3 linked regions of the Danio rerio genome follow. The protein of the gene in region 3 interacts with the protein of the main gene of each other region in a biochemical or structural test. Links are inferred from orthologs where the notes say so. Each region holds a gene or a part of one and is shown on either strand. Other genes may lie near its edges.

Region 1 (4,219 bases), on a different chromosome or scaffold from region 3:
GATGCAGAAGCAACTTAAAAATAAAGGTATGTATGAATGGTATGAATGGAAGTATCTTCAATAAATGTTCAATAAAACATTACTTTTTGCATCTGCTTATTTCAGTCTTGATTTCTGAGAATGTGAGAAAGGAGGTAGGGGGTACGCTACGGCCCCCATGGTTGCCTCAAGTTAAAATGAGATAACATGATAAAAATATAGAAGCTGTGGTTTAGCCTGATTAGCTGCTTGCCTCAGTGCAAACTGTCACTCTGTGCCAAGAAAACAGCATCTGCAAAGTCAGGTGTCCTTCCAGAGAAAAACCTAAGCACAACCGTTCCATGTTTACTTGTCTTCCGCAAAGCTCCAAACACCAACACCACATAGACATATAAGAATGAGAGAAATACAACTCTGAGAGTAACACTAGTAAAGCAGATTATCACCTTGTCACCTCATTGGTTAAACCATGCAGAGAGTTTTTTTTTTATCTTAATTACACCATTACGACAGCATTATGAGTTGCTGAACAGAGGTGATGTAAAGGAGCTGAGTGTTCACTATAAGCTAATGATGCTTGATAAATATGATAGCCTGCAAGATCAGTAACATTTAGTCCCAGATGCAAACAGATCTTTCATTTATTCATAGGGACTTGTGATACCATCGTTAGTCACTAGAGGCACCAGCCTACATGCAGAACCAATTAATACATGCAACACCAAAAGGCTTAGTTATGAATATAATTATTATGCTCAAACGGTTTATATCAGGGCATTAAATAATTATGCACATTTGTTCCATGTGAACGACTTCTCATGGCTGTTATCCGAAAGCCCGTAGCGTTATCGGTTTAAAAGAACCCGATGCAAAGTAGTCAATTGAGCGCTGAAGCCCTCTGGCGTTGCAAAGCTGATTTTCAGATTCATGCCAAAACCACACTAAATGCGTGTGCATGTGTTCTGCATTGTCCACGCTCGCTCTAAACCTGATCATTTGAATTGAATGAAGTCCTTCATACCACGGCTCTGATTGCCACGATTCTACAGGTAAGCCTCTCTAAAAGCGCGTTCGTGAAATTTAAGCAAAGCATCACAACAGATTCTTACTTGAAACGTAAATTCACCACATGAAAAACAGCAGTTGAAAACTAACTAAGACAAAAAGTATCTTTGTTTAAAAGCACGAGTTACACTGGGATAAAAGTCTGAACACATGATACGCAGTGGTCAGTTAACAGATGCAGTCCAGACTTGCCCCTCATCTTTTAGAACATCCATAAGGGCTTATCTGAGCAGTACAAAAGACCATCTGATACGTCCATGAGGTGCCAGCGAGCCAAAGCAAAAAAAAAAAAAAAAAAAAAAAAAAGTCAGGGTGAAGCATGCAAAACATCTTCAATGGCTTTTGGGATAAAACAAGGAATTCCAGATCATTTACATACAACCTTTGTCCAGACTAAAGGAACAATAATAAAATTAACCAAAAATGCAAACACATTAAGGCATTTTTGAAAACTCCAACAAACTTTAACCTTAAGGTGTAATTTTATCTTTAGATATCTTTTAAAACTCGTGTTTATTTCTGGTCATATATGCTGCCCATTCCTTAACATTATTGATATCAACGTTCTTAGAAAGTTTAACAGCCATGAAACCTTTATTTCCCACAAAATGTTTTTATAGTGGAAAAAACAAGTTATTTACATGTTTTAAACGTTCTTCGTTTTAAAACATGTCCACTCAGTGTTATGTCATTAAATTAAATTAATTTTGAACAATCAAAATTGTTCTTCAAAGGCATTGCACAACAAACTTTATGTTAATTCTTGACAAAATAAAGTGTTTTAAACACAGTACGTGTTTAGTTAATGTTACTGGACCTAAAGTGCTGAAGCTGGACACTGTTGCTATGGCTACCTCCTCAGATGACCGCGATTTCTGTTCGCAAATGTCTACTTTTGTCGACTTTTTAAAATGTAATTTGTAGCAGCATGTATAACTAAACGCCTAGTAAAAAAACATTTGTTCAAAAGCTTTCCAATGCTTTCAAGCGACAATGCGTTCATCGCTCACCGTGCCATTTTATCTAAAAAATAAACTTGTGTAATTGTTTTAGCGTCTAAACTCTTTCCTTCACGTCCCTCTCCAGCTGAAACAGGCTTCATATTCCTCCACTTGTTGCGGAGACGCGCGCGCGCTCGAGCCTGAGTGATGAATAATTGAGAGCAGCGCGCGGATCGGCTTTACTTTACATTCTCACCTGCCGCTCTCCGGATCAATATCTTGTTTCAATGAGCGGTTCCTGTAACTGCTTAAATTCCTGATATATAGAGTCTCTGCACGGTAAGTGAAGAGGATATGATTCACAGGGATGATCAGTGGAAACTCTCACAAGCTGTTTAGATTTTAGTTTTCAGAGAATGGGAGAGCTCTGGACTGACAGACCAGCATGAAAGCCCCGTCTTGACACACAATTAAATTATAATGAAAGACAGAACAGTGTGTAGATTAATATTAAACTGCTTTAATAATGAATCATGAGTAGAAGCAACAGGTCCATACATTATTCTCAGAAAGTAATCCGTTTTGCTTCGGTAGTAACTCAGCAAGGCTCTCTTCTCAGCAAGTGCACATCCCTACTCCTCACTGAACAACTTCTAGTTTATCTTTAAGCTTGGGGAACAAAGTAAGACCATAAAAAAAGCAAAAAAAAGATAACAGCCGCCCTACCTGGTTGGATGATTAACTGCAACAAAACAGTAAACAGAACGCAGTGATATTCCATTGTTATAAGTCCATCTATCTCATGTGTGTTGTATAGTCTTGGAGCTCGATAATAACGCCGAACGGTCGCCTGCGGAGCGATCACTGCCGTCTTAAAGGGCCAGCCTTGTTTTCTACCTTGTAGCCTGCGCGCGGGTCATGCGGAACGACGAGCGAGCCTGGGCGGGGACAGGGAGGTAACAACATCAACAGCAATAATGCTAGTCATACCTGAGACGCACAAAAGAGGTTACAAGTGCCACGGGGTGACACGTGGCTTGTCAGAAGAAACTGTGAATTGCCCATAACAAACTGTATAATGATAAGTAGGGCGATCTAATTGATTTATTAGACTGCAGATTCAATACAGGCTCCTCTTTGTGTGATAATGCTGATCTGTCAATGGCGAATTTGCAACACAAACTAAAACATTTAGATTTTCACAGAACTTCATGGAATGTTATTAGCACACAAAAAAAGAAAAGAACACAGGCTGTGTATTTCCAGATGCAAAAAGAGGTATAAAAGATAATTACACATCACCTTATCTCATGATAGCAATAATGTTTACAGCATGAGGTGATAGGTGAATGATTTAGCAGGGGGTTGTAGGTCTGCTGTACTTTCCTTTTCATAAACCATGCACATTGGTTTGATTTATTTCACAGTTATCACTGATTTTGACAAGCACATCGTGGGGTAATTAGCTTTGGAACCAGCAAGATTAGCCTCATCTGCATCATACTTTGATTTTGTCTGAGAACAAAGAACTATTAAACATAAATGAGTGGATAGTGGTAGTATTGTTTTAAGCATTTGTTTGTCATTAATGTCTGTGAGAGGCTTTGTATCTTTCCTAATCTGCTCCACTGATATCCAATATTTGTATTGGCTTTCAAAAATAGAATGATTGATATTTTATGCTTTTATTATAACAAACAACAGAGTTTCACTATACTTGTCATTCTAACATATAACTTAAATGTGACAGCCGAACTCCACTTCACCCTGTTATTTACCCATATTTCTCAATGAGCCAGTAGCCAGGAGTCATTTTGAATTATAAAAAAAAAATAACATGTTGCTATTTTCCCATTCTTCAACATCATCTTGTGATTTTGCATCATTCCAGACTCTGAGATAAACACATTCATTGTTTTTTTTTGTTTTTTTTTATTCAATATTGAACTGTCAAATGTGAAATAAAAGTGCTGAACAAGTTCAACAAGGCAAATATAACCTTGAGGGAAACAAAATGATTTTGAATGGTTCTCGAATATGCCCAATGATTGTGCCAATAGAACAAAATGTACAAACATTAAAATGGATTTATATCCTACACACTAGCACAAATTAGTTAAGCCAGCTGCTGTAAATCATTCCACATATATACCCATGGCCTCATTAAATCGGTATTACTGCGCCAGTGTGTCTCTGTGGTACAGTATACATCATGCTTTTCAGCAAAATGTGTT
Region 2 (4,306 bases), on a different chromosome or scaffold from region 3:
GGATGGAACATAAAAGAATTAAGTTGTCCCAATAAAAACTTAAGCTCAGCTCATTTTAAATAAGTGTTTGTCCAAACAACAAACATCATTTTCGAGTGTATTTTATTTTGTGTTCAACTAAAAAGTCAACTAAAAATGTGGAAACACTTGAAGGTGAGTAAATGGTGAGCAAATTTTCATTTTTGTGTGAATCTGTTCAGGCTGGGAACTGGTTGGTCAAGTAATGTGGTCTACAAACCAAAACACCTAAGGGGCCATTCACACAGAATGTGCTTTTCCATCTCAGTGCATTACTTTTACATTGTTTTTTTATGTTAAAGGACTTTACAGACTTGCATGACCATTATGTTTCTGTAATGCAATTTTTACAAGTTGCACCATTCTTTAATGTCAGTTCCAAAGCAGCGGACCAATCAGAATAACGGAAAGGCATGGCAAGCATCTTTGGATGCAACGATGTGTTCTGTATGAATCACCCCTAAGGAAGCTTGAAAGTGTGTTTTACTGTAAGGCCATGTTTACACTTGGTAATACTATGTTTTGCTTGATTGAAGTAGATAAAGTTATGTTTAATAATGTTTTGCTTGATTGAAGCAGACCTCATCACATATATACCAGCCATTCTAATCTGTCTCTTTTGGCCACATTTCTTTGAGAGGCTTGTGTATTTATGCACTTCAGAACTTTCAAACCAATATTGTGAAATACACTTGCACAATTGATATACAGTATGAGGAAGACACATACAAGACGTTCGTTTCTGCTCCACAAAACTATGCCAAGCTCAGTGGATTTGCAAGCCAGGCTCAATGGAAATATGTGATTCTGGCTACGTAAAAACTACAAATCGTACCTTCCGGTATAAACCCATTTTGCTGCACTGAACCTAAATGAACACCTTTTTCTAACATTTAATAAAGAGTTAATTATCTTGTTATGTTTTTTGTAGATCTTTGCATAATTTTATTTGTCCATTAAAGCGTTTTGGTGCATCTGAAAATTCCAGTGCTCTTCTACCAGCAATCAGCTGTGAGCACTTCTCTAAAAACAATGAGAGATTTTATTTCCAATGAACCTGTGCATTGTGCTCACAGTTCAGTACATTGTGCTTTTTTATTTACATTTCAAACCAAACTTACTATTTTGGGTGGCAAAGTTTAAATTGCATTTCCACTACAAAGTACATTGATCAAATGTTTGATTAGTGAAAAGAGAGGAATAATCTACTTAAATGAAAAATGTATTTTAATGCAATCCCATTTTAATGGCTGAAAGTGCATAAGCTCAAATAGTTTTGAACATCATTGAATAGTTTATAATAGTAACAAAAATGCATTTTAATACCAGCTGTAAAGCAATTTTGCAAGTAAAATTGTACATTATAATTCCCAAGTACTTGAAGCCATCATTGTTTCTACATTCAAAATTAATCGTTTCCAGTGCCACCTTGACAAACTGACCACTGACTCACCACTTTTGTTATGAAGCCAACTTTCTATTGTGTTATAATGGGAAACTATTGGGATAAAATGGTCTTACTTAGCAGTGTGTATAAACTGCAATGCACTTTAAAGACTTTTCTGAATTATAAATTAAATATAACAATGAAGGATTTGCTTTTATCTGTCCATACAAATTATATTTGCTAATATCAAGTATGCAGTTATGAATATCACATATACTAAACAATAACCTGTGAGATTCTTATTAACGTTTCCATGCAGTTAAACAAATGTCCTCATTATTTATATTTTAAATTTAAATTGAATACCCAACAATTAAAAAAGTTGCATGAACCAGACAAAGTTTGTCCTACCTTCACCACATCGTCATTTAAATGCTTTGGGTCTCGGTTGACCAGGTCAATCTCCTTGGTGTGGACATCCTGAAGTGTCTTTTCGTTGATGCTGTCGTTATCCATTTCTTTATTGTTTGGTTTGTAAATGTTCCCCTGTTTCCTGATAAACGGCGAGTGAGCGTATTCCTGCGGTTCCAAAGAAAACAGAAAATGAAGTTCATGAGCGTGGAGTGGGAGACTCGGGCGCAACTCAGCACAGCCCTGGCATGGGATGGTTTTAAGCGGATAGAAATGAAGCACCACACCCCTCTGGAACACAGTGGCGCATCCCGCCACACGGAGGCGCCATTTTACATTATGCGCCTGTTGTGCTCCCTTTTTATTCCGCAGCAGAAAATATGAAAATGCGCTCACTGCTGAAAAATCTTGTTTTTAGTTCGTGCTTAAATTATATTACTGTAACAAAATTGTTTAGACGCAGTTTCCCTTTATAAATATGTGTATTGATAAAGTACTTCTATTTCACCTGGATTAATGAGCAGTTCATATTTTCATAGCCTAGTATTATTTTATTCAGCTGTGTTTGTGAAAGTGTTGCGAAAGGGAGGCTTGCAGTACAAATACGTGCCAGGAAAAGATAAGACTTCAAATCTGCCAATAATGTAGCAAGTGTCAACACTGCCTCCGTTTGTTGATAAACCATACAAAAGGTTTGCAAATAAGTAACTAAATTAAATTTTGCTCTGTATAAAATTAATTGTCATCAAAAGTAAAAGATTTCTGAGGTAAAATAGGGGTGTTCTTCTTACCTCTTCAGGTGTCCCGTCCTTGTATCCGCTAGTCATGCTGTCCCGTGCCTGAAGTGCGATCAGATGAGTGTGAGGAAACAAGACAATCAGTACAGAGGAAGCAGTGTGGGAGGCGTGGGGATATTGCTTTCTGTGGGGAGTTTTTTTTCCCTTAAAACAGCCCTCTCTTCTGCATGCTAAAGTCCCATCAAGCTTTTATCTGAAAGCTAGTTTATCTCTCTTGAAGACTCTCACGGCACAGAGTGGGAGTTTCTCCCAGTCACTGAGTTTGTGTGTTGAATGAATGAGGAACCCTCCATTAGCCTGCCAATCACACAGCTACGCAGCATTAGTGGTTGGGGATTTTGACGTGATTTTTTCCCAAATGGGAGGCACATCTGGGCATTAGACCAACTTTTCCTGCACGATTGCCATGTATGCTAACAGGAACATGCACTCTTTTTTTCATTAGCAGTTTTAAAATTGTGTTACAGTAATGCTAATCAAAATAAAGCAACCCTAAGCATTACACTTCATTTTTTTTTTTTGCTCGTTTAAACTACTTATTTAAAATGAGTGGAAACAACACAATTCTTGAGATTTCATTGGGACAACGTTTTTTTTTTTTTGTTCAATCCACATAAATCTGTTAAAAGTGTTAAGTTAATTTAATCAATTTGTGTTGGGACAACATGAACGAATTGTGTGGAACCCTGCATTTTTACAATGTTTGAAGGTTGTTTAGAGACAATATATATATATATATATATATATATATATATATATATATATATATATATATATATATATATATATATATATATATATATATATATATATATATATATATATAAAGCAAATCAAACTATTTTTAACCAAAGTAACCTAGTCAGACATAGTCACCCTACTATTGAAGTTTGATCTGTGCCAAAAGTCGACTGATGGTAGCTTCATTTGCCCTTATTGACTGTCATATTCACATAACATAGGTATAGGTTGATTGTGTTTTCTATGTTGTATTGTTCCTACAGAACAAGAAAAAGTTCAACAGAACATGACAATGTAACACAAAAATTGAAATAATAACTGAAAAACTAAAAACAAAAGGAAATACAAACATTAACATATAGTTATTTACCTCAACAAGTGGGCAGTTACTGTACATAAGGACAGATGTAGTTTACAAAGCAGTCTATTTAATTTTGTTACAAAAAATTGTGGTGCATATTAAAATTAAACCTTTAAATGTATGAAGCACTACTGACACTCAATGTCAGATTTTCCAATTCAGAATATCCATTAAAATATGTTTTACTATTGAACTTTTTGCACTTCGGATGTATAAACCTAAAAGGTAACTACACTGAGGTCTGTTTGCATATTAAAAGGTTCCTCGAGGCAAGACTTGCACTTCAGTTTGGAATGTTTTGAACAACACTGAAGCTGCAGGTTCTTGTTTTTCTCATATTTGCCTTACTTACGTATCATTTGCTTGACTTACCTATACATCTTTTTAGGAGGCATTTATTACACCTAACAAATGTTTGTATTTCTAGGTCAGATGCTGGCAAAGCGAGGGTTGTGACAGGCAATGCAAAATATGCAAACAACGTCGCCAGTGATAGTGGCCAAAGGTTGCTGTAGGTAAAAACTCCAGCAGCACTCTTATTATATGATAGATTTGATTCTATATTATATAACTTTACATTAATTGCAAGGT
Region 3 (3,567 bases):
ATCCGTTATCAGGTAAAAACAGGGTAACATTTCACTATTTCCTTAAGGAAAAAAAAGAAGATTAAAATAAATGTCTATTTAAAAAAAAAAAATTTTTTTATGTCTTTTACCAGGATGGAAAATATGATGTAGGAGGAGGGGAGAGGTTTGACACCTTAGCAGATTTAGTAGAGCATTATAAGAAAAACCCCATGGTCGAGAAGAGTGGAATTGTTGTGCACCTTAAACAGGTGAGTAAATCAAACCAAGCCTGAAAGAAACACATTTTTCCTTCAGACAAGCAATTACAGTAGCTGCAAATGCAAAACAAGTGCCTTTCAAAGATCTGGGTCTGCAATTTATTATTATTTTTTAAAGAACCATTACTTATATTTATGCACTAAATTGACAAAGTGACCAAGAAATGTATAATTTTAAAAAATGTTTCTATATCAATCAATTTTATATTTAGTTTGAAATGAATCATGAAAAAAAGTTCACAAATTCTTCAAGAAAATATTCATTGTTTTCAACTTTGATAATATTAAGAAATGCAGTGGTGGAAAGAGTACTGAAAAAAAATCATACTTAGATAAATTAAAGTAGTGCAAGTAGATGTAGTGCAAGTAGAGATAAAGTATCTGTTGTAAATATTACTCTAAGTATGAGTAAAAAGTAGCCCTTTTAAAAGTACTCGAGTAGTGAGTACCATTTAATTTGTGGATGTGTGTAAACGTAATATTCTGTAGTGCATTTAGTTATTGCCCAGCAGGCACAGAACGTCATAAGACGTTAATATTAGGTTAGATTTAGATTGTGACCTAAATTTAATGGTTAGCCAGCATCTAGGAACGTTATTTTGAAGTCCAAGGATGAATGACGTCAAATGACGTTGATATTTGATTGATTTTAGGGTTTAGGAAGTGAACAAAAACATTGAGCCAACAACTTAAAGGGGTGGTCCACTATGATATCATATTTTAAACTTTAGTTGATGTGTAATGTAGCTGTGTGAATATAAACAACATCTCTGAATGTAAAAAGTTCTCAATTTAATGCAAAGGGAGACCTTGATTTTTACGGAGTTAAGCCTACAATGAACAAATTTTGGGGACTACAAAAAATACTTCCACCCCCTGTGAGATCACAAAGGTTCGTTTACTGTGCATACAAACTGCGCAGGTAAGGCGCAAAAGCAGAAAATCTCCTCAAAGCAGAAGCTGTGAGCTACAACCTGTAAGTGTTTTTATTTGTTAAAATTGATCATGACATGTACAGTGTATAGCGTTAACGGTACGCTGTAGCAACGATGTAAACAATGCGAAATGCTGCTTTGCGGGCAAACGATTTAGCTACAAATTCATATTTATCAGTCAAACTGCTGTAAACACACACACACACTCCACCAGCACGTTCGTGACTCTTATGTGTGTGCGCGACTTTGCATTGATTGTCTTCAGGCAGTTTTTCCATGTTTTTCACATCTCAGATAATGAAGTCGCAAAAGATATGTAGATGATTCATATTACTTACACCTGCATATTCCGGATATATATGAAAGCCGTCTTGTAAAGCATAGAGTTAAAAAAATACAGGTTAGCTTACCTGACTCGTGGTAGCAGCAGAATAATAAATCAAGGCTCACACATCTTGTGCTTTATTCTTCTGTCACGATATATTATAGAAAATAACTTAATCCGAGCATCAGAGAAAAAGAAAAAAAAACTCCCGTGCACATGCGCTTGTTACAGAAAGTTCACACATTCACTCACACTCACACACACATAGACGCAGACAACATTCACTCACACACACACACACACACACATAGACACACACAAAGACAAGGTCTCTTTAAGGAGCTGCACCCAATTTTCACTCGTTACAGACACTTGTCAGATTTTATTTTAGTGAGCAGGCAGGTGGTTGAATGATTGTTTACACAGCAGAAAAGCGCATGCTTTCATGGGCGTGACGTGGAGCCAATCCGCGAATAGCAGCACATTATGACGATGACCAATCAGAGTCACTTAAGGGCAGGCCTTTCAGAGGAACTAGGAAATTTGACAGTCATTTTCATGTTAGCTGAGTAGCTGTGTATAATCAAAGTGAGATATATGAAAAAATAACGCGATTTCCTTCAAGTGAAACATGAGCACACATTGCTTTGCATCTTATAAACACAATTAAGCCTTAAAATTACATTCTGGACCACCCCTTAAAACTAGCTTCATATTGACGTCAAATACTGACATTTATTCATCAGGTATGGCAACCAAATCCAACATCTGATAGACGTCATAGTGGTAACGTCCACACAACGTCAAACTGTAACTGTCAGGGTTCTGCCACTTTGGTCTTGTAAATTCTTGTTTTGGTGGCAGAGCTCTGACACTTCTCATGTCGGGTCCTGTTTCTGTCTCTGTGTGAGCGCGCGCCGTCATGGGTGTACGTAGAGTGTGCGCGTTCCTGCTTGACGCGGCCGCGCGCGCGCTCTGCGTCACTCAGACGCGTGCGCTCTTGTACTCGTGTTTGTGTTTTCGTTTGTCAGCAGCGTGGTGTTTCATTCCCAGCGTCTCAGTCTTGTTGGTTTCGGTTTTGGTCGGCGCTGGGATGAAGCATGCACGCTGCGTGTGTGTGCGCGCACGGTGAGTGCTTTCATTCATCGTGTGCTCGTGTCTTGCGTCTTTTGTCAAAGCACGTGGCTCGGTGTTTACATTGTGGTCACGTGCTTTTGTCGTGTGCTTCAGTGTTGTGTTGTGTGAGCGCATGGCTTGTATTGTCTCTCTGTGTCATGCGCTCTCCCGTCTATTGTCTTGTCCCACCCACCTTGTTACCTTGTTTGTAATTATTATTTTCACCTGTCCGCCTGTCTGTTTATTGGTTTGTCTTTCCTATTTATTCTCCTAGTGTGCTCTGTTCCGTGCTGGTCCGTTATTGATTGTTCCCTTCTCTGTTGTATCTGCTGATTTCTAGTCTACAACAGTGGTTTAATGTATTGTCTTGTCAAGTTCCAGACCTTGTCTAGTTGAGTGTGTAATATGTTGTGTTTTTCCCCACATGGGGAGATTTGAGTTTTGTTTTTGTTTTATTTTTCATTAAACTCTTCATTCCCTGCATTTGGGTCCTCGCCTCCTCTTCATCACCCCCATACCGTGACAGTAACATCATTTGGCGTTGATATTTGGTTGATTTTTGGTTGTATGTTGGACATTGGCATCGGTCTGACTTTGAGTTCTGACGTCAACCCGATTTTCAATTCCAAACAAAATGTAACGTCTCCACGACGTTGGGGTACAACGTCAATCTAATGTCATTTTGACGTCTTGTGCCAGCTGGGTGTTTAAGGCTATTTCGATCATCATACAGTAAACATCTGTCATCTTCTCATCAGTGACATGCATCTAAACAGTCTCTGGGTCAATGCGTGTAAAGATTTTGGACATCTTCTTGGACCCTTTTGATGCTTGCAAACAGTTTGCTGCAATTATAAATCGCCCATGTCTTGAGGTAGTTTGTTATGATGCAATTTACCTTTTATGTGCGATTTGATTAGACAGGAATCACAGGACTGATTTTTCTAATCCA

The links. The genes of interacting proteins can lie anywhere in the genome.
Region 1: the proteins of ptpn11b (region 3) and kita form a complex in vitro, tested with the Homo sapiens proteins (3 studies listed by BioGRID and IntAct, with this or other methods). The link is inferred for Danio rerio from reciprocal best matches to the Homo sapiens genes PTPN11 and KIT.
Region 2: the proteins of ptpn11b (region 3) and cav1 form a complex in vitro, tested with the Homo sapiens proteins (2 studies listed by BioGRID). The link is inferred for Danio rerio from reciprocal best matches to the Homo sapiens genes PTPN11 and CAV1.

What each region holds. Positions count from the first base shown.
Region 1 is NC_133195.1:24,925,112-24,929,330, forward strand, and holds the start of kita (mast/stem cell growth factor receptor kita), read right to left. Parts: upstream 2,852-4,219; 5' UTR 2,767-2,851; coding exon 2,712-2,766; intron 1-2,711. UniProt on the Homo sapiens protein: Tyrosine-protein kinase that acts as a cell-surface receptor for the cytokine KITLG/SCF and plays an essential role in the regulation of cell survival and proliferation, hematopoiesis, stem cell maintenance, gametogenesis, mast cell development, migration and function, and in melanogenesis.
Region 2 is NC_133200.1:19,558,773-19,563,078, reverse strand, and holds the start of cav1 (caveolin-1), read right to left. Parts: upstream 2,852-4,306; 5' UTR 2,644-2,851; coding exon 2,608-2,643; intron 2,062-2,607; exon of another isoform or gene 1,985-2,061; coding exon 1,817-1,984; intron 1-1,816. UniProt on the Homo sapiens protein: May act as a scaffolding protein within caveolar membranes. Forms a stable heterooligomeric complex with CAV2 that targets to lipid rafts and drives caveolae formation. Mediates the recruitment of CAVIN proteins (CAVIN1/2/3/4) to the caveolae.
Region 3 is NC_133198.1:26,914,090-26,917,656, forward strand, and holds part of ptpn11b (tyrosine-protein phosphatase non-receptor type 11b), read left to right. Parts: coding exon 1-12; intron 13-113; coding exon 114-230; intron 231-3,567. UniProt on the Homo sapiens protein: Acts downstream of various receptor and cytoplasmic protein tyrosine kinases to participate in the signal transduction from the cell surface to the nucleus. Positively regulates MAPK signal transduction pathway. Dephosphorylates GAB1, ARHGAP35 and EGFR.